Saccharomyces cerevisiae S288C: one gene and its partners. Changing the gene in region 1 together with any one later gene gives a genetic interaction. Each region holds a gene or a part of one and is shown in the gene's direction. Other genes may lie near its edges.

Region 1 (8,786 bases):
AACTGGTTACTTCCATTGACTGTTTATATTGGGATTTTCAAGACACCCCGGTATTACTCGTACCCGTAAAACAACATACACTTCGTCATGACTGAGAAGAATATAGGAGTAAAAAGAATACCTGAACTAACAGATATAATCAGCATCATGTTTTTTAAGCGAGAATACAGAAATATTCAAATTAAGATAGGCAACAAGGATTAGTTTAAATCTGAAAATCTTTTAAGATTAGGTACCTAATTTAGCTATATTGCTTTATGATTAGTTATAACGTCATTGGAGGAACAAACTATTGGAATAAGAATCGACTATAATCTACCGGCGAGTATTCATAAGCTATTATATTGTGGTAGACGGAGTAGAAAGATAAAAAAGGATTGAAAACAGTCATCTGATTTAATGGAAGCTGAAATGCAAGATTTAATAATGTAATAGGATAATGAATGACAACATAAAAAATAGAAGAAATAATAATAGTAACATTATGTGGAAATATGGGTTTCCTTGGCAGGTTCCTATATCCTTGAGAAAGAGCTTCTAATATATTTTGTATATTTAGTATTATAACTAAGCTGTTAGAAAATAAAATACCGCTAAATCAATTGAGGCGGTATTAAATACCTGTACATTTGAATATTTGGAATGAGAAAGAAATATAGTTACATAATGTACAAAAAAGAAGCAAGAAAGGAATATATATATATATATATATATATATATATATGTATATTGTTATTTAGAATATCTCTCTCTCTTCGAGAATCTCTATATCCTCGAAAAGAACTTTTAGCATATTCACGATAGGTCGTATTATCAATTAAATCAATTACGAAGTTCGGAAGTTATTGCCTACATAATATGATGTCCTGTTCATAAAAATAGAGCCCTAAGAAGTGTTATTAAATTTAACCAGCCTACAAATTAAATATAAAATGAGTGTTATTGTTCCACCGACTTGAATAATTGTACAACTTTAGCTAACATTTTAACTAATATTTTAACGCATCTTATTATCAAGTATTGTAACAATACGTATCATCTTACTATCTCAATGGAAGCATTCTCTTATACATACTGAGTCAAATATCTTGAAGACTCATTATAATGTGTAATAAAAGGACAAAGCAGCGTAGAAGCCTTAAATAACTATGCACTTGGACACATGTCTTCTCACGACGTGTTCAAATATAATGATTTTTCAATCAGCTTTGAAGTTCAATACAAACTTCTTCACTAAAGGATAATAAGCAATCATTATTAATGGCAAAATCGGTTTTCAATTTCTTTCATTTTGAAATATTGGAGTATTTAAACCGTTTTGTGTATCATTCACAATACTTTCTTCCATACTACTGCTCTCTTGAAGTTCTTGGGAAGAGCCGAAAAAATTGGACATTTCAATATTGGTGCTTATACATTACTACTGACAAGAAGATAATAAAAAAGAAAGATTTCTATCACCGATAGTGAGCTCTTTAGAAAACTGAACGCAATAAATTTTATGCCTCATAACGTCTTGGGGCGCGAGAATTTACTGACGTAAACAGATCCGGCTCAAAAAGTCGTCTTTACCTTTCTATCATCTCGTCGCATAATTATTAAATTAACTCACAATTTCTCACAATTTATATCATGCCTTTTTTGTCAGTTCGTGGCCTTGCCAGTGGAGATATAACAACTACTTCGTAAAGGGTCCCGAAAGAAATGAAAGAATTACTCATTTGATATAAAAATTTGCATGGTATAACAGAAGTGAAACGCGGGGACAACCATGATCTTTTTTGAGTAGGATAATTTTTTATGTCGGTTTGATATATTATAAAGCAAGTCATATATAATATCATACTGATTTTAACCAAACGATAATCAATCAGAAAAAGAAAATAAATAAAAAATCTAGCACATAGTATTTCAGTACCCTTATGGTTCTGACCTCAGAAATTATTCAGCCGCTTGTTATCTTATAGTACGTTTTATATCGTAATTTTCCTGACATTTTGGGCAGAAATCCTTTACTCCTGATATAATAAACGACGTTTTTTTTCCTGTGTTTTTTATGTTACTATAAGAAATGCAAAAAAAGAAACAATAGAAAAAGGCAGTGACAAAAATACTAATCAGAACGTTGAAAACAAATCAATAGTTTTGATAATGGTAGCATCATCGATCAATGAAGAATCCTCTTTGGCGGTAAACTTGACAAGCGATGTAGAGAAGGCTTCGAAAACTTTGTTTAAGGCATTCGAAAAGTCATACGCAAATGACTACTTGATGAAAAAGTTCTTCCATATCCCAATCACTGAAAAAGTTTCAAGGGCAAGAATAAATGCAATGATACATTACTACACGACGTGCTACCATGACTTGGATGGTGAAATTGCTGAGGCAAATGATTTCGATGCAGTCGCAATATGGAGCCGCCCTGGGTGCCACTTGCCTGCTACACTATCTGACGACGAGTCTTTCAATAAGATTTTTTTTTCACGACTTGACTGTGAGGAAGCACGAAGTCATGCCTCTGGGAATGGACTATTACTACCTTTATGCCATCGGAAAAGATCCTAGCCATCCCGAAATTAGAGGTTCAGTCAGAAAAATACTCGAAAAATATAAAACCAAAGCAGACAAGGCCAATTGCGCCCTTGCTCTCGAGGCTATTTCGGAGCACGCAAGATCTGTGTACGAATATTTCGGTTTCAAAACCTATTTGGTGTTTCAGTTCGGGGTTGGAGAAGTGAACTCCAAAGGAGAACCCGATCCGCAGGGGAAGGGATTCACGGCCTACTTGATGCTCTACCACAAAGATGCAGACACCATCTTTCACGCCTGATTTTCTTCTAAAAATTTTATAGACATTTATTGTATGTATGGAGCATATAGCAACAATAAAACTTAGACCAACATTTTTTGCCGGGTCACAACCCCCTATCCCGGCTGCGAGAAAGGAAAAAAAAAAGTATCAGACAATTGATTATCAAAGAGTATGTGAAACTACGCTTTGTTTTCCACTTCAATTGGTAGGCATGTCAATACGTCTCGTTTCTTCATTGGAAAACTCTTCATTTCAAGGATAAACCATCGTCGCCGTAAGTATTTTGGGTTTCATTTCCTTCCCCCCTCGATTTTGCTTTTTTTTCCTTTTTTTGTTAGATAAAAATATAAACCCTTCTCCATATACCTGTTCACCTCAATACCGTCTTTAACTGGCTTTTTTATTTTGTATAAAAGTTCTACTTATTAAGATCAATAGGCACGTGCTATTTTCGAACATCCACTTTCAATATGATGCGTGGTTTCAAGCAAAGATTAATAAAGAAGACCACCGGGTCTTCTTCTTCTTCAAGCAGTAAAAAGAAGGACAAAGAGAAGGAAAAAGAAAAAAGTTCCACTACCTCATCCACATCAAAGAAGCCCGCTTCGGCTAGTAGCTCTTCCCACGGGACTACTCACAGTTCTGCCAGCAGTACCGGATCAAAGTCTACAACTGAGAAGGGCAAGCAATCTGGTAGTGTTCCCTCGCAAGGGAAGCATCATAGTAGCTCTACATCAAAAACAAAAACAGCGACGACCCCTTCTTCCAGCAGCAGTAGCAGTAGAAGTTCAAGTGTCAGTCGCTCCGGTTCAAGCTCCACAAAGAAAACAAGTTCAAGAAAAGGACAAGAACAGTCCAAACAATCGCAACAGCCATCACAATCTCAAAAGCAAGGATCTTCTTCATCATCTGCCGCTATAATGAACCCCACTCCAGTACTCACTGTTACTAAGGACGACAAAAGCACTTCTGGTGAAGATCATGCACATCCTACTTTGCTGGGGGCAGTATCCGCTGTTCCATCATCTCCCATTTCAAATGCTTCAGGTACAGCAGTTTCTTCTGATGTAGAAAATGGTAATAGTAATAATAACAATATGAATATTAATACTAGTAATACTCAGGATGCAAACCACGCCTCCTCACAAAGTATCGACATTCCGAGATCATCACACTCATTTGAGAGACTACCAACACCCACAAAACTTAACCCTGACACAGATTTAGAGTTAATTAAGACTCCCCAACGTCATTCTTCATCTAGATTCGAGCCATCTAGATATACGCCATTAACGAAATTGCCAAATTTTAATGAAGTTTCTCCTGAAGAAAGAATCCCTTTGTTCATTGCCAAAGTTGACCAGTGTAACACTATGTTTGACTTTAATGATCCAAGTTTTGACATTCAAGGTAAAGAGATTAAAAGAAGCACCTTAGATGAGCTAATAGAATTCCTTGTAACAAATAGGTTCACTTACACGAATGAGATGTACGCTCATGTGGTGAACATGTTCAAAATCAATCTGTTTAGACCTATTCCACCACCAGTAAATCCAGTTGGTGACATTTATGACCCAGATGAAGATGAACCTGTTAACGAACTAGCCTGGCCTCATATGCAAGCTGTTTACGAATTCTTTTTAAGGTTTGTGGAAAGTCCTGATTTCAATCATCAGATTGCTAAACAATATATTGATCAGGACTTTATTTTAAAGTTACTGGAATTATTTGATAGCGAAGATATCAGAGAAAGAGACTGTTTGAAAACGACACTGCATAGAATATATGGGAAGTTCTTATCATTAAGAAGCTTTATTCGTCGGTCGATGAATAATATTTTTTTGCAATTTATTTATGAGACTGAGAAGTTTAACGGTGTGGCAGAATTGTTAGAAATTTTGGGTTCCATAATTAATGGATTTGCACTTCCATTAAAGGAAGAGCACAAGGTTTTCTTGGTGAGGATATTGATACCATTACACAAGGTCCGTTGTTTATCATTATACCACCCTCAGTTGGCTTACTGTATCGTTCAATTTCTCGAAAAAGATCCTTTATTAACCGAAGAGGTAGTTATGGGCTTACTGCGTTATTGGCCAAAAATAAATTCCACAAAAGAGATAATGTTTCTAAATGAAATCGAGGATATTTTTGAAGTGATCGAACCGCTGGAATTTATTAAAGTAGAAGTTCCGTTATTTGTTCAATTAGCTAAGTGTATTTCTTCTCCACATTTCCAAGTGGCGGAAAAGGTTTTAAGTTATTGGAATAATGAATATTTCTTAAACTTATGTATCGAAAATGCCGAAGTCATCCTACCCATTATATTTCCTGCATTATATGAATTAACTTCTCAGTTAGAGCTAGATACAGCAAATGGCGAAGATAGCATTTCAGACCCTTACATGCTTGTTGAGCAAGCAATCAATTCTGGTTCGTGGAATAGGGCAATTCATGCTATGGCATTCAAGGCATTGAAAATTTTTCTGGAAACAAACCCAGTATTGTACGAAAACTGTAATGCATTGTACTTATCAAGTGTAAAAGAAACTCAACAGCGTAAGGTGCAACGTGAAGAAAATTGGAGCAAACTTGAAGAATATGTAAAAAATCTAAGGATTAACAATGATAAGGACCAATACACAATCAAAAACCCAGAATTAAGAAACAGTTTCAACACAGCAAGTGAGAATAACACATTAAATGAAGAGAACGAAAATGATTGTGACAGCGAGATACAGTGAAACAGCAATTCATTACAAGCTCGAAGAAGTGAGGAAGTTTAGGGCATGCCACATTTCAAAAGAGCAGCAGTATATGAAGAGCAAAAAAGAACTGGTAAATGGGGTCAACTTGTTGAAGAAACCAAAGATAGAATCCCCGAATATTCGAACAAAACTATAGCAAAGATAAGCCACTTGGACAATGGTTGTTTGTGGCCTGAGATAAAGGTCTCTTTTTCTCATCATTTGAGCATACTTCAATCGATGTGTCTTCATTTTATTATTTCTATACTTTTCTCCAAATATATCTTCGTTTTTCTTTTCGCTTTCCTTCTTCCTTCTGCCTTTCCTCTATTTATTTTGCACTCCACTCTTTTCCGTAAACCTTGCCTATCTATTATTGGATTTTTGAAAACTAAAGTATAAAGGTATGTCATAAATAATTAAATAACAAAAAAAATAGGATCATGATACAAAAAAGTGCCTTCCCCTTAGCACAGCTGATCCAACAATTTTAAGAGCTTGAAAAGCAACCTATACGTAGTTTTTTTGGCGACTGGTAAAAAAGAACTGAATAATTAATGCCTGCACTATACTGATACCAACCATTACCCCCATAATTAGTAATGAGAGCCATGTTAATCTTGACTCAGTAGAACTCACAGTATACATGTTTCTCCATTCTCTAGCCCTTAAATAATCCATTGTTTTGGTGATCTTATTCAGGTTCCTATCAATTTCCTCGATGGCGTTGTTTGCGATTATGTCCTCTTTGCTTTCATGGGAAGAAACAATTTCCTTTTCCTTTTCGAGGGTGATTTCAACTTTCTTTGGGGAAGTGCCGTAGTTATTACTCAAACAGAAAGTGTACTTACCTATACCAAACGACTTCAGTAGAAAATCAGAATGCTTCTTTTGTCTTTCAGTGACGATAACAGAGCCATCAGGGGCGGTAATATCGAAGTCTATCTCGAAATTCCCACCTGTCAAAACTTGGTAACTGACCACAAGGACATCTTTATCAGAGGATAAATCATAGTAAAGACATTCTTTGGTAAAAGCAGGTAATGATATGCCTACAGGAGCATAATTAGAGGAGAATGCATGTGTTAACAAAGATGAACTAAACAAAATCGCAATCAAAGTAAAAACGCGCATAATTCCTAGCGATGATTGGGAATATATATTTATGAAAAAACTTCACTAGCGCTCGTGAAACTACTTCAAAGGCAGCTGGGAAATAAATGTCTTCAAAGCAGAGAAGAGTTCCCAAATAGAATTCTCAGATCGTCAATCGCTCATCTTTGAGTATATCACGTCAAAAAACAGGAAACAGTGAAAAAAAAGTAGTCCATAATAAAGCGCGTTTCCGTCAATGCCGTTGGTTAATAAAGAAACAAATATGTAAAAATATAATATAAACAGGGCACTTGAGAGAGCACAAAAAAGAGCCAAACGCTACCTGATACTTTTATAGTTTTGATAATGGGGTTCTACAACTGTAGATTCCTGTCCAGACGTCTATCTGTTGAGCCTTGCAGAATAGGTAGCGCCGCTAAAAGCTATCAACAGCGATCGATTTATCACTTTGGCGCTGCTCTCACAAATGCCCCTAGTGGAAGAGAAACACCAGACAAGCTACGTTCTGACCTGCATAGTGCTTTAGAGATGGTCGATGAAATATATGACACAAATTCGACTGTAGAGGACATTGGAAACAAGGAAAAGGGAGGTCGACAAAAATATACGGAAGAAATGGACAAGGCGATTAATCTACTGAAAACAAATATAAAGAAGGAGTATAGACATGATAAGTATTTGGAGCGGACAAAGGTAGGAACGTATCCTGGTAGAAGAACATATCCTGGTAGGAGAACATATCCCGCTAGGAGAACATATCCCGCTAGCAGAACATATTCAGATAGCAATTCATACACTTTTCGGATAAATGTCCAGAAGATTAGGCACGCATTAGTACGTTACAATCAAGATGGTGTTCAAAAACACAACCAAAAGCCTCCTAGGATTGGTCATGGATTAACGAGAGTGTTATACCAACCGTTGTCGCTACAAAAATTGAGAGATAATAGGAGCAGAATGTATAATTTTGACCCTGCAGTGGAAAATATTAATCCAGAGTATTTGGAAAAGAAAAGTGAAAAAGATGTGAACACAGACTCCTCTGGAGAAGGACAAAGCAAGCCAATATTCATCACACCCCACAAAGATGAATCTCTGTTAAAGGTTGCCAAAGAACATAGAAAAAAGTACATATCTTCATCAAGTTCCATGACATCAGTACTTTCTCAGTTGCACTATTTATTATCCAATTTCAGAAGATTGAATATCATTGATTCCTCGATATCGAAAAATTTTCCTCAAAAAAACTGCAATTATTCAGAAAGTGCATATTTTCCGTCAGCAGTCATTCTGAGAAAGAAGAGAAATGGCATTTGTTCTATTGATTCAGATAGAAGTCTGGATAGGGAGATTGTGCTTTCTGTACTAGGTCATTATCTTGAAGACTTTTTAACGGAAAAGTCCCTGAAGAATAGTTCAAAAAGTGAAAATTATCACTATTCTAGTATAGATGAATTCATTGTGAGATCTCAATTGGACGCGTACGACCCAAATCTACCTGGAACGGGTGTATTTGATCTGAAGACAAGAGCAGTTTCTGCCATAAGATACGATTTATCACATGTAGAGAGTAATAACAACCAAACTGGATATGAGATAGATAAAGTTTATGGGGAATTTGAGTCTTTGGAAAGAGAATATTTTGAACTAATCAGGTCTGCCCTTCTAAAGTATTCTTTGCAAGCTAGAATTGGCAAAATGGACGGTATTTTCGTTGCATACCACAATATTTCTAAGATGTTTGGATTCCAATATCTACCTTTGGACGAATTAGATTATATAATCCATTCTTCGTATAACAGCAAATTCGACAGTTTGTTAAAGGAGAAGAATGATATCACAAAAGGGATATATGGTGAGGAGGACTACATTCTACACTATGACAGGGACGATAGGAAAATTGCTTGCTTGGTGGCTAATAGGGAATTTAAGATGTCTATGAATCTGTTCAGTAATATTTTGAAACACGTTGAGCAGTTACTTAACTCAAGTAATACGAAATGGGAAAAATGCAAAATAATGCTTAAAACCGAAGTTGAAGAAAAACGATCCAAAAGTGGCCGCTTCTTTAACGAACCGGTGCTAAATATTGTAGCCCTGCCGTTGTCACC
Region 2 (6,819 bases), 110 kb from region 1:
ACCGAAGATTGGGACCAAGGTTGCTGGGATTAGTAATGCACAGACGCTACCGGTCCAGATAGCCAAATTGGAGGAACCGAATCTTGAATAGTCACTTTGGTTGGTGGAACCTGGAGAAATGGAACCGAACCAGTATGAAATCATGTAAACCCAAGCCCATGCTCTTTTAGAACCAGTAACGGTAGATTTTGTGGAGGTAAACAATTCACCGACACCATGGGCATTCTTAGTCAAGTAAATCACTATACCCAGCATGGCAAAGCAAGTAGCTACACATGACCAAATTAAAAGGTAGTTCATATGGTAGGGTTTCATGAAATAGCAGAGCGCGGTGAGGACGTGGAAAATAATGAAGCCGACCAACTGCTTGGTGGTCATGGCAACACTTGGGGACAAAGTATTGGGCAGGTGCAGATAGTGGTGGGACCAGGAATCTAATATCATGTTGATAGATAGACCACCCAACCAAGCGTTGGAACCATAATTGACAATACTCATCAAAATTCTAATGATGATACCGAAGGCTGAACCGTAAATGCCAAAAACGAATCTTTGGGCCAAGGTGAAACCGATTTTCCAATCATAACCGGGGTAAGAGTTGGCCATAGTGAAAATAATGGTCAAGACATTACCGAGAAGAAACGAAACAATGGTCTCTGGGTAACTTAGGCCGACACTTAGTGCAGCAGAACCACTCATCCATGTACCTGCTGTAAAGGACACAGCGCCCCAGTACGCCAAATTAGACCAGAACCCCCATGTTTGATTTGCAGACTTGATAGGTTGCAAATCAGGGTTCCTCAGAAAATTCACGGCAGTCCTATTTTTGGCAGGAATTTCTAAATATCTCAAAAACTTAGAGACTATACTACTGAAGCTCATGATGATACAGGTGCTGAAGTCCTTTTTTTGATAGTTATAATGGGGATATCAGTACAATAAAGAATAATATAAATTCTGCAATAGGAAATAATATAGGTAATTGTTCTTGATAATTCTGGAGTTTATAAGATTTTAACTCTATTTATGAGAATAGAGAAGGAAAATTAAAACTACAATAGCGAATGCAAATTTTTTTCCCCGAAGAACAAATAGCGGTAGCAACACATGCTGACGAAAGTTGTGTTCCTCTTTTTTTGGAGCAGGTCTGACTCAACTAAAAAGCTAGCTGCATGCAACCACGCTACATTGGCACACTATATCCTGACGCCCGCGCTATACTCTGACGCCTGCGCTATATATTCTGACGTCTACTCCATAACTATTATAGTAGTGGCCACTGTTGTTCGTAACCCGGCGCGGTGTTCGCTCCGAGCACGAAAATTCTGTCGTTTATTCTCTTCCTTCTTCCAGTTCCATTACTTAAAGGAGCTGTTTTATTTCATTCGAAAGCCCGATGACAAATTCTCCTCTTTCATATAAATTAATAAGGCGGTCAGCAGGAAACTCCTATTGCCAACCGTCTTGCGAACCGACCGGTCGCTGCGCGCGATCATGCGTCCACGCGCTTCTGTGGCGACGGACGACTACAGCAAGACATTACTCTGGTCATTTACGCCTGGCGCCCAGAATGTACAAGCGCAGACGGCCAGATCATATGATGAAACGGAATAGTCCCAGCTATACCGGTGATCACAAGACGTAGTTACATAGATGCCTTGGCGCCGACACGATATTTCTTGTCGTTCTGTGCCAGTAATTCCTTTTCTTCTCGACTATGCCTCTAAGACGTCAGTCTTGGAAGCATAGTCTTCGTAAAAAAATTTTTTTTTTGAGGTTTTTGCTTCCATTTCTTTAGACTGAACTAATTTATTTTTTTTATTATTATTCAGTAATTTTTATATATTTATTTATGGACTTATTGAGGTGCTTTGGGGGTGATGACGTCCCCAGTGAGGCCCCCAGGGTAGTGGACCGCACCTAACTTCCCATTCATGATGTGATTACGCATTTTAATCTTGTCTATATGTTCTACAATGATGGCGTCAGTGCCAATGCCGTTCGCATCTATGAGGGAGATGAACTCGCTCTCGGCCGTTGGGTTTGAGGCGGTGCCGTAGTGTCCGCCTTCATTCCGGCTTCGCGGTGTCTACGAGGCATTCATTTTATGTCGCGGCAACTACTTGATATTTTCCACCAGGCACAAGGAGAAACATGGAGAAATTATATATAGAGAACTATGAGTCCTGAGGCGGCCGTTCAGTAGCTCAGATTGCCAGGGTTAAAAATTGCTCCTTGGCATCCTATGTGCTGCATACTAAAAAATTTTTAGCCACGTAGTTGTATACTTTTGTTTCCGGGGATGAGAAATTAGCCCCAGGTCCCAGACTTACAACAAGGTAGATAGGGGGGCGCACCTTGTCGTCATGAGACCCATTTCGTAGAAACTTGAATTTGTTGTTGTTACTTCTGTTTTCAAGTAGGAGTAACGAGGCCGCGTACAATTTGCCAGTGGATTTGTCGCCTGCAGCAGCGGCCGCGACGCGACGGGTTGATCCAATTTTGTGCTTGCTTCTTCAACTGAATATTTTGAGTCCACTGCATGTGGAAAACAGAGTTTTCAGTCAGTCTTGTATGTATATTATTCTCTTTAGCTCCAGAATTTCTGCTGTGCTTAGTAACTTCTTGCCGTTGAGCTGATTTTAGTAGTATAATTTTTTTGCAACTCTACTGATATCAAGAGCAGTGATATGTGCTTTAATGTTGGCATTTCTTTCAAGCCAATCACCTTCTACCATTGGTCACGGTCTCAGTATATTTGTCGTAAATATTAGTACTCTAGTCTGGTCAGAGAAGTGGCCTTTCTCCCACCAAAACGTTGTTGTTCTGTCTTTTTTCTTATTATTTACTATTTATTGGATTTATCAAAAATTCCTCAGGAACAAGATTTAATATTCTTGAAAATCCTGTATGTCATAAATCATGAGCTTGGAAATTGACACGAAATATCGGATGGCACTACTTGATGATCGTTTTTATCACTACCGCTGTACTTTAATTTCATAATTTATTTGGTGACATTTCTCTTGAAGATCTGGCAAGATGTACACGGGGAGCTCCTTCAACTGTTAAAAATATTTTTAAAAGTAAAGACGTCACCATACTTTTTCACCATAAGAACAATTACTGGTCCAGATTAAGAACGGTTGGAGTAAGAGCCAATTATCATTCATTGACTGGTATTTCCTTTTGAACTATATTATCATATAATAGGTAAGAAGATGGCAAAAAGGAAGGAGAAACAGTGGTCTGATGTGATAGGGAAGTAAATGTCAACAAATACCTAACAGTACTATCTGATCGAACAAAGAAATTCCACCAAACTGTCAGTAAATTTATTTAATGAGCAGCAAGGACATAGTGCACAACTAGCACTCTACTTCGATTGGGTTATTGAGGAAGAGGATAGTATGCCCGGAATTTTCAAGCATTTACATGATTATGGTTTCATTGGGGTGCAAGAAGACCCAGCATGATTAGATTGCTATGTACTCATTATATAATATATCTCCGATGAATATATTTCCGAAAGTTTACTGAAGGCGACCTTGGATAAACCATAGTTTTACGGCAAATACACCATATCACTATTTTCTTTCTATATAGCTTTGCTAAGGCTTTTTTTAGTGACCGAGACAAAGAAGAAAATTTTCCATAAATGAAAGACCATTGTTTATTCCGAATCAAGTTTTCCGAAGAATTGTTGTATTACACAGTCCAGAGACAGCAGAATCTTTCAGAAATTTTAATACTGTTGTGACAGCATCTTGTCTATTATTTATTGGATACGCAAAACTCATTTTTTTAAAATTTTTTTTATAATTTCCTTTAAATAAAAAGGTTAAAGCTGGGAAAAATGCATCTAAATAATAAACTAATGATTTAGTTTCCCTCATTTAAAATATCTAAGAAGGACAGAACTTTGTTTGGGGTACTTACCCTTGAGTATTTTTAGCGATTATTCTTGGAGTTCTCAGCCAGAAGATTAAAAGAATATATGTTACTGAATGCAGTGTGATACTCAAGACTAAGTAGTCTTAACAACAAGTTAACAAGGGCGTGTGGTCTAGTGGTATGATTCTCGCTTTGGGCGACTTCCTGACTAACAGGAAGACAAAGCATGCGAGAGGCCCTGGGTTCAATTCCCAGCTCGCCCCTTTTATTTTTGATTATTTATTTCCTATTGGTCGGGTAACAGATTTTTTTTATTTTTTTCAAGGCCCTTTTGTTTTGTAAACAAAGAAATTTCACAAAGTGAGCGTCTACTAATATTGATAATGCCATTTCCACATTACAACTACTGCTAGGCGCAGGGTTATATTACTTACACACGCATATATATGTTTAATTGGGTATAGAGGGGTTATTGTTTGACCATGCCGAAGAGAAAAATTGCTCCTAACAAGGAAAGCAGCAGGCGTACGGTCTCCCACGATGATTTAACCCCACAAATACAAGAATTTCAAAACCTAATGGATCTCGAATCGCAAAAAGTGGAAAACATCAGACAGTCGTATTCGAGGCAAAACTCCCTGCTGGCCAAGGATAACTCCATATTAAAAATTAAAGTTAATAGCTTGGAAAAAAAAATAAGCCAGCTGGTACAAGAAAACGTGACTCTACGATCTAAAACCTCTATAAGCGAAGCTATCTACAGGGAACGGTTAAGTAATCAACTACAAGTCATTGAAAACGGTATTATTCAAAGATTTGACGAAATTTTTTATATGTTTGAGAACGTACGTAAAAACGAAAATTTGCCCAGTTCGAGCTTAAGAACAATGTTGAAGAGAACGAGTTCCAGGTCAAGATCATGCTCATTGTCATCACCCACATACTCAAAAAGTTACACTAGGTTATCAAATCACGAGAATAACCTGTCGCATGAATCAAGTTTTAACAAGGACGATGGTCCAGATCTTGAGCCTAAGGCTAAAAAAAGGAAGAGTTCTAGGCGGCAATCTATGTTTGTATCCACGAGTTTAGAACCTGAAGACGAAACCGGTGAAAACGAACCCATGATGGAAAATTCCTCTGTAGAGGTACCGGCAGAATCACACGAGTCTGCGCAAGTGGAGGAAACAATAGATGCCTTAAACCCTGAAGAGGAAAATAGCGATTCTGTCAGTAATTTTACCAATTCAATTATAGAATACTCCATACCAGAGGAGAATCCGACAGAACCCGAGCATTCATCTTCTAAACTAGAAATATTCAATGACAGTACAAATATGCTAAGTACAGTGCCGTCAAATCCTTTGCCGTTGCCTTTACCAGGCCCATCCGCAACTTTACCTACTACCACTAGCGATGCTTCAACGGTCTATCCTTCATCAAGTTCTTCTACTAATTCTCATCCAAAGACCAAAATTAAGCATTCCATGAAGCCGCCTAGGATAGAACTGAAGAAAAAGGTTATTGACGAAGTCATGCCCGTAAGTAACATGAGCAGCAACAGCGAAATATCATTTACGAGAACTAGAAGAACTCGTGGTAAAGCTGTAGATTACACTTTGCCTTCTTTAAGAGCCAAAATGAGGAGGCCTTCAGAAAAACTTGTGGATGCTACTACTGTGATTGATATACATGATCTACAGGTTTCCAAGAGAAATCGGGAAACTTCACATAAAAGGAAAAGTTTATCCCAAGATTCAATACCCGACGAACCGCAATTGAGAGAAGTCGTCGTCTCAAAGGATTATGGAACTCCAAAAGGGAAAAAAACGGAAGATGAAATACACGAGGATACCGCTCATCTAATGACCACTTCCAACAACAACAGCAACAACAAAAACGAAAAAAAACTAACTAGCAACAATAGCCCTAAAAAATCGTCGCCTTTACTTGACATTACAAATAAATCGGAGAATAAGAAAAAGTCAACAAGAACTAAAAAATTGTTCAAAAATGCAATTGTCAATAATTTATCTGATGAAAATTCTACTACGCGACCCTCCAAGTCGTCAAAGGGAACCAGTAATAATAACAACAATTACAACAATTTCGACAATAACAATTCAAACATTAATAATGTTAATAATAAATCTGTTAGCTTTAGACTAAATGAAGATGATTTAGCAGTATTTGATTTATTTGGAAATGGTAAGGCAGTGAAACATCAACCAAAAACATATCGCACCAAAAAATGATATATAGTCTTTTTGCCCTGGTGTTCCTTAATAATTTCTATATTTTTGCATAATAAACCATTGTATTATATACATTCGATTTTGTGTGTATATACGTAAGTACATGATTTTGTTTCTCCTCGTGCTGTCAATTATACACTCATTTTCATTTGAATTCTTGGATGAGGATTATAATCTTCAATTTCAAAGTCTGTCAACTTGAAATCATCAATGTCTTTAACGTCCCTTTTAATCTTTAGTTTCGGGAATGGTCTTGGATTTCTGGTGATTTGTTCTTTCAAGGCATCAATGTGGTCTTTATAAACATGTGCATCCCCCAAAGTATGAATGAACTCACCTGGCTCCATGTCGACAACTTTAGCAATCATTCTAGTCAACAAAGCATATGATGCAATGTTAAATGGTACTCCCAACCCCATATCACAAGAACGTTGGTACAATAAGCATGAAAGGCGGGGCTTACCGGATCCTTCTCCTTCTTTGGGGAAACTGACATAGAACTGTGAAAAAATATGGCATGGCGGCAAAGCCATTTTGTCAAAATCAGCTGGGTTCCAGGCACTCATAATGATTCTTCTATCGTAGGGATTTGTCTTTAGTTTATGTATAACCTGTTTCAATTGATCAATACCTTGTCCAGTATAGTCGTCATCGCACGTCTTGTATTTAG
Region 3 (7,736 bases), on another chromosome or scaffold:
GGAAAGGAGACATAAAAAAAAACTAGAGAAGCAGAGGTTGGCTGAAGAACAAGAGGAACTGAAAAAAATTGTTGAACGAGGTCCACCTTATCCCCCAGATTTAAGACTAACTAAAAGCGGTAAACCAAAAAAACCATACAGAAGATGGACTCCGGAAGAGCTACTGAAACGATCACAGGAAGCTGAAAAACCGAGGAAGGTGAAAAAGGAAAGAAAGAAAAAGGAAAAGAAAATGAAGGTACCTTCATCTGCTTTGAAGAAAATTCCTCTCTTCAACTTTGTAAAGGGTAATGTTCAGCCAAGTGCAAGACATCGTCTGAATGACATTGAAGGTTCGCTATCCACTATTGGATTACATAAATCGCCTGACGGTGTCCGCAGGATTCTTTCGAGACCAAAGAGTGAAGATCACGAATGGCCCCTATCAGATTCATCTGCATCTCAAAATTACGATGCACACCTAAAAACTGTAGTGCATAAAGAAAAAATTCCTTTCCATCCCCCATGGACTATACCGTCTCAACCACCATTTGCACTACCCGTAGCTAGAAGAAAGAAAATACCAAATATCAAAAAGTATAGAAAGAGAACCAATAATTCTTTTCGTGTCTCCAAAGAAGGTACGGCAAGTACTAGGAACAGAATTTTACCGGCCATATTACTACCGATAATAAATACATTAAAAGCTGCTGCAAAATCGCAAACAGCTGCTGGCGCCACACCTGAGGAGGCAAGGAAACGGCTGGCAACCATTATTCAACATGCCAAGTCTACAGTTATTAGGGCAGCTTTACAAGCAAGGAAAAACAGTATGCAAGCCGCTCATTCTAAGGGAACTACCACAGAACTGGCAACAACTGCGTCTCGAATGAAGAATCCGCTGAAAATGATTCCTATTTTCAATACATCTCGAGTGAAACAACAATTAGACAAACAATTACCGGCCAGAAGTGCAGGAACAGAAATCAGCAGCTCTGAATCCCCTGATAAAGCCACGCCCGATCCCCACTCTAATTCTACAATCGCTGGGCATACTTTAAAGGGCGTTACTACGCCAATTAAAATAGAAGACAGCGATGCGAATGTTCCTCCTGTTAGTATAGCGGTTTCAACTATAGAACCATCACAAGATAAACTAGAACTTACGAAGAGGGCAGAGAGCGTAGAACCTGTGGAAAATAATGTTGAAACAGCGAAAGAAACCCAAAGCGTACAAGAAATTAAGGAGAATGTCGGTACCAAGGCTTCTGAGGAAGTTACTCTAACTGAAGACAAGACAAATGGGGATCCAAAAAATGAAAAGAGGATATTAATTGAATCTCCTGTCGAAAAAACGGATAAAAAGAAGCCAGGTGAGAAAATTGCTACAGATTTGAATGAAGATGCGAGCCTGTCTGATAAGAAAGATGGAGATGAAAAGTCTACATTGCATTCTGATGCAGCCCAACTTACGGGTAATGAACCAGACAGTGTAAACACGACAACAGGAAAGCCCAAATTAATTGATGTTTCTCTCAAACCGTTAAATGAAGCAAAACCAAAAATTCCCATCATATTTCCCTTAAAAAGACCGCAAATTAAGCCTGAAGTTAGCGTTATTAATTTAGTTCAAAATTTGGTAAATACCAAAATACCCGAAATAAAGAATGAATCCGTTGATTTGGGAAGTAATATCACCGACATTCTTTCCTCTACTATCACTAATATTCTGCCCGAAATCACAGCCACTGATGTTAAAAACTACCAGTATGAAGATGAAAACGTAAAATACCTGAAAAAAACACCAAGACAGGTTTTGAATTTGGATGGACTAGTGCCTCCATCGGGTAGATGTATTACCAAAGCTAAACGTGTCCGCCGCATTAAAAAGCTTTCTGCTGACGCCACTACCGCACCGGAAGCCGATGGAAAGGCAAACAGCGAATCCATTACTTACACATTCGATATACCATCTCCAGAAGAGGTACAAAGTAAGCGTAGTGTAGTCCTAAAATTTGCCAAGGCTAGATTGACCGAGGCGGAGTTGAGTTGTCTAAAGAAGGAGATTAACAATGTGAGGAAACGGAGATGGAGAGAGATGAACTCCACCAAGAACTGGGAATATGACGTAAAGTCTAGATTAAAAAAGCGTGCGAACGCATTTTTTGGGGAAGGAGAATCAGAAACGAAGTCTAAATGGATCGAAGAAAGATTTCAAGAAAAGGTAAGTCAAGAAAAGTACAAGGATCGCCTTGAAACTACTGAGACGCAAGCAAACAACACGAAGATTGTGATTGACGACAAGGAGATTTTGAATATTCTTGCGGTAAACATGAATAACCTTAACAAAGCACGCTGTATTGAAAAAGATATTCAAGAGTCGTTCAGGGAGGAGAAGTTAGCCTCTTTACAACCAAAGAAGAAGAGAAAGAAAAGCATTTTACACTGAGGTGTTACTAGACATAATTTAGTTCATATGTCCATTTCTGCATAATCATATATACTTAAAGTAGCAAATGTATATAGTTTTTTCTTCCGATTTTCGAAACTAATATTAGTATTGGAAATCGGCCCCTGCCATTGTGCAATTTACATTATTCTATAATTAAGCAAACGTGATACGTGGATGGTAATAATAGTTACAGTTAAAGTAAGACCGCTTAACATCATTCCAATCTGGCAATTGCTCGTCAAGAGAATATCTGGTGTAATCGCATTTCATACCATATGTAGCAACATCGATCTCAACAATTTCTTTATATACATCGTAACACAACGATCTGTCAGCGCCTAATCCGTTGAAAAATGAGAAAACGCCTTCTGGTTTAATTAAACCTACCACGACATCGTATAAGTCCAATATGTCTTGGTAGTGCTCGCTAAATGTATCATAATAAATACCATCAAAGAAAACTTCACCTTTGTCTAATAAATTATTCAACGTATCTTGCCATCTTCCCTCTAAAATAACCACATTATCCTTTTCATACCAACCATCCATTTTCATCTTGGCCAAAACATCTGGATGAGCTTCGCAAATATAGTGACGATATGGTTTTCGAGCTTGGATGAATGTATCGATGATCCCCATTCCAAATCCAATGTTTAAGATCGTAGCAGAATTAGTGGCCTCTGGATCAGGAAATAAGGTTTCGGAAGCAAGTTCCATAATCTTGGTTTCCCAATCCATCATAACACCGTCCTTATTTTCCTTTGTGATAAGCGCATCGTCTTTGTACTCTAGTTCTGTTTTTAAGTACACTTGTTGATTTGCCGCGGTAGCATCGTCATCACTACCAACTGATTCTTCTTTTTGACCATCAACTGCTGTTTGAACGCTTTCCTCAGGCTCGATACCTATTAGTTCATCTGTATCCAAGAATTCGACGTCGCCACCATTGAGTTTTCTCAGTAATAATTCAGCAGACACACCAGCTTCCACGAGCCGTCTATAAAGAGGGCTCTCCCTACTTTGATTTCTCTCTAAAAACAAATCACCCACTGTTTTGTCCTCGTAGTCAATAAAATTCCATCCAGCCCCATACTCAAAAAGAATATTCATCATATCCATCACCACTTGCAGTTCCTCATCCTTGATATCCAAGGGTAGCGATCTTGCTAAAACGTGTAACGGCGTTGTGTTTGAGGTTTTATTGTCGTCAGTGCTCTCTCTGAATTCCTTATCCCCGTTCCTGTTCTTTTCCTCATGCTCGAAGGCTGCGACCTGCTCCAAAGTATATGTAGCCGGTATACCAGATTTTAAGAAATGCTGCAGTTTTGGTACATAGTAACTTTGAGAAATGGGCCTCTCTGGGAAAGTAAGCAAAGCATGTAATTCTGACATACTTGAATATATTAAAAGTCCTTGGTGTAAACACCTAGCCGTTGCAACTGCTGGGTATTGTCAATGTCATTTTGCTTTACGCTTAGCTTAAAATGAGATGAGATGAGCTTTGAAAAATTTTAGAAAAAGAAAGGTGCCATCGATTCTCGCCGAAAAAGGAAAAGAATCGTTATAATCCTTCGAATCCTATATACACTAAACAAATATCTGCATTGGTCAACCCCAAGCACACGTACTGATGACTAGAGATGATACTGAAAGTGTTAACAATATAACTTCCTTACTCGCAGCTAATGTCACATATTGAGGTAACAATGGATCGAAACAATTTTCATGCTTACCCGCGCGGTGATTTCTTGGTAGCGAAGGGGTTTTCATGAAGGCAGCAGAAGAGAGGTACATTGATTTGAAAGTGTGAGGAAACAGAATAATAGTGCCTAAAGCCTAACCCAAGCAAGTAAGCAGTTCTTCCACGTCTTATCTATTCAGAGGCTGAAACAATTGAGTGAAAATTTAAAGAGTAGGTGTGGGACATTGGTATGACATATGACGTCTAGGAAAAGGTCTCCGCACGATTTCATATTTAAAGAGGAACTGGGCCATGGCTCTTACTCTACTGTGTTTAAAGCTCTAGATAAAAAAAGCCCGAATAAAATTTATGCCATTAAAGTTTGTTCGAAGAAACACATAATCAAAGAAGCTAAGGTAAAATATGTCACCATTGAAAAGAATACCATGAATTTGTTGGCACAAAAGCATCACGCGGGTATAATCAAACTATACTATACTTTTCACGATGAGGAAAATCTTTATTTTGTTTTGGATTTTGCCCCAGGTGGAGAACTACTTTCCTTATTGCACAAAATGGGTACTTTCAATGATATATGGACGCGTCATTTCACTGCACAGTTAATTGATGCATTAGAATTTATCCATTCACATGGCATCATTCATAGAGACTTAAAACCGGAAAACGTCCTTTTAGACAGGGATGGTAGACTTATGATTACTGATTTTGGGGCCGCTGCCACCATAGACCCTAGTTTAAGCGGAGATTCGGCCAAGTTTAACTCTGACAGCAACGGCTCAAAAGACAACCAAAATTGCGCTTCCTTTGTTGGTACTGCCGAATATGTCTCTCCAGAGCTGCTTTTATACAACCAATGCGGTTATGGCTCAGATATATGGGCACTAGGTTGCATGATATATCAGTTTGTCCAAGGACAACCGCCGTTTAGAGGGGAGAATGAGCTGAAGACATTTGAAAAAATCGTAGCATTAGATTATCCATGGGGACCCAATAACCGCATCAATAATAGCACATCACCAATAAATCCCCTTGTAATAAACTTAGTACAAAAAATATTGGTGATAGAGGTCAATGAGAGAATCTCTCTCGAACAGATAAAAAGACACCCATATTTTTCAAAAGTAGATTGGAATGATAAAATCAAAATATGGAGAGGAATCTGGCAATCACAAGGACAATCGCTGCAACAAACTACTTTGGGACTCCCAAATATACCGCAGAATATACTACCCACCAGACAATTACATGTAATTGACACTCCAGCACGAAGTATACAAATCACAAAACAAAAACGTAAGAAACCAACGAAAATTTCCAACACTACTAGTAGCATAGTAGTATGGAGAAAAAGGCTTGGTATATCAACAGGTAAGGATGATTTAGGCACCGTACCGTCCACTACGCCTGCAGTGACCGCCCCTAATGATACCAATGTATTAACAAATACGGCGGCACATTCTACTGCAAATATTGCCTTACCGCCTAATTCACAATCCAATCAAGTCAAGCGAGCACAACTAGTTGCACCAAATAGAATACCTCCCAAAGTACCGGTAATTAATGACAACGTGAGAAATAAGTCAATTCCGCGCACAAAGCCTAATGTGCCACCTTTGCAAACATCATCAATACCACAAAAGTTGTCAACATCGTCAGCATCGTCAGCTCTATCGGCGCCGTCAACAGAGATAAGGAACCAGGACTTAACACACACTTTAGATGGAAGAAACTCAATTGATATTCATGTTTTAAAACAAGACTACGTCTTCATTTATGGCATTCCATATGAACACGAAGGGCCTGCTATGTCTTTGAACAGCTACAATAAGATCGATAATGATTTAATTACGTCACTAGTTGCGCAGCATAAAGAAGAATTAAAAAACTCAGAGTCGTTTTTACAGGTATTGACTTTGAAGAAGAGCGGAATGTTAAGTTACAAAAACACAGTTATGGAGGGAAATGATGATCAAGAAAACAAAGAACACCAGATGGCTAATATAGAAGATACAGACTTGTCCATGTACGATTTTGAATTCAATGAGTTGACAAGGAAGGGTTTTTTAATCCTGGAAAAATATAAGAATAGAATATGGTTTATCTCGCTACCTTCATATTCAACGTTATCCAAAATACCATTCAATGCCGTGAAGTCTTCGACAATAAATAACAATGAAAATTGGGTCGATTGCTTTTTCAGAGCAAGACAACTACTAGAAGAAAAGCAAATTCTTGATAAAATCAGTAACGTTTCCTTTGATAGTAAGGCATCGAGTGAACCATCATCACCTCCGCCTATTTCAAGAAAAGAGCGGCCTCTGAGTATAGGAAATAATGTAACAACACTCAGCTATACTGCAAAAAATGGAAGCCAGAACAATGCACCACAAAACGATAATGTTGGAGAAGAAAAACCTTTTCGCATACCTAGTAGTACCAAGGATAGGCCCGGTGCAAATTCCACTCCTTCTTCAAGACATCCTAGGGTTTTGTCAAGCAATAACGCTGGTGAAACTCCGAAAAAAATGAATGGAAGATTACCAAATAGTGCACCTTCTACCAATACATATACCAACGGTTCGGTCCCAGCTTTTAATCATAGGCCTTCTACTAATGTAGGGAACAATAAGCATAATATTTTAACTTCGAAGAAGCAGGGATCATCCGTATTTTCTCCTTCATCTTCTACGACCAAGCCTCAAATCAAAACAACAGGATATCGACAGCCAACACCTTCACCTCCACTTCCGCAAATGGAATTCCCAACTACGAGAGAAAAGTATTCTGCTCCTTCTAACATGGTGATCAGTAGCAGCAGATACGAGGTCTTACATACCCTTAATAACAGCCAAACAAACTTTGATAGGGAAATTGCTAGTAGGGGTGCCTCAGCAGCATTTAGAAGTTTACAGAAGAGTAAGAAAAAAAAATAACACGCTTTAATAATATTTGTGGTTCCTCTACTTCGAAACAAAAAAATATGCACGAGTTGTTGACGATCCAGAAAAACCAACATATAAATCATATCCAAACCCTTGTAGCATTAATATCCGTATCACTTATGTATTCAGAATGCATGTATTTTATATATGCCCAGTATATCTTCGATTGAAGCTCTTCGGCATTAGTGCATTGTATTTTTCAAGCAATGAATGCCAAAACTAATAAAACTATCAAGACGACAATAAGAAGTCCTATACAACAATCGTCGTATTTTTCTTTATTTTTTTCGTAGACCCATTCCAATTGCCTACGACCTCTAGCCAGCTTATTTACAACACCGTCCATACCCTCGTCCATATTATCCAACAATTGTCCCTGGTTCTCTAATTCATCCCCCATTGTTTGAGCTTGAATATGCAAATTTTGCATTGTCTTGTGAATACCATCTAAATGAACATCTTGTTCTCTTAACATTTGTTCCTGAAACGGATTGGACATACCACCATCATTGTTCTCAGCCATGCTGGTGTTAAGTGTTGAATTTTCCACCGTCTCTTCTAGAGGAATAGTTGTTTGAGTAGATTCCTGTATTCTTCGATCAAAACGCAACTTCAGAGCATCAAGTTGCTGTTTTATATTTTTAACTTGTGCTTCCCTACC

What was found.
Region 2: of RTS1 (region 1) and SGO1, changing one suppresses a phenotype caused by changing the other (phenotypic suppression), as found in Saccharomyces cerevisiae (4 studies listed by BioGRID, with this or other methods).
Region 3: mutations in RTS1 (region 1) and PKH3 together harm fitness less than expected from each alone (positive genetic interaction), as found in Saccharomyces cerevisiae (3 studies listed by BioGRID).

Annotation. Positions count from the first base shown.
Region 1 is NC_001147.6:354,392-363,177, forward strand, and holds RTS1 (protein phosphatase 2A regulatory subunit RTS1), read left to right. Parts: upstream 1-3,282; coding exon 3,283-5,556; downstream 5,557-8,786. Other genes in the region: YOR011W-A (uncharacterized protein), read left to right, coding at 1,261-1,467; YOR012W (uncharacterized protein), read left to right, coding at 2,152-2,565; YOR015W (uncharacterized protein), read left to right, coding at 5,602-5,961; ERP4 (Erp4p), read right to left, coding at 6,070-6,693; PET127 (Pet127p), read left to right, coding at 7,021-8,786. UniProt on the Saccharomyces cerevisiae protein: The B regulatory subunit might modulate substrate selectivity and catalytic activity, and might also direct the localization of the catalytic enzyme to a particular subcellular compartment. Multicopy suppressor of ROX3 and HSP60.
Region 2 is NC_001147.6:460,395-467,213, forward strand, and holds SGO1 (Sgo1p), read left to right. Parts: upstream 1-4,376; coding exon 4,377-6,149; downstream 6,150-6,819. Other genes in the region: NRT1 (nicotinamide riboside transporter), read right to left, coding at 1-882; YOR072W (uncharacterized protein), read left to right, coding at 1,108-1,422; YOR072W-B (uncharacterized protein), read left to right, coding at 4,075-4,236; CDC21 (thymidylate synthase), read right to left, coding at 6,281-6,819. UniProt on the Saccharomyces cerevisiae protein: Plays a central role in chromosome cohesion during mitosis and meiosis divisions by preventing premature dissociation of cohesin complex from centromeres after prophase, when most of cohesin complex dissociates from chromosomes arms.
Region 3 is NC_001136.10:1,390,752-1,398,487, forward strand, and holds PKH3 (protein kinase PKH3), read left to right. Parts: upstream 1-4,369; coding exon 4,370-7,066; downstream 7,067-7,736. Other genes in the region: SPP41 (Spp41p), read left to right, coding at 1-2,428; RMT2 (protein-arginine N5-methyltransferase), read right to left, coding at 2,585-3,823; TLG1 (Tlg1p), read right to left, coding at 7,275-7,736. UniProt on the Saccharomyces cerevisiae protein: Serine/threonine-protein kinase which may phosphorylate the same targets substrates as PKH1 and PKH2, 2 upstream activators of PKC1.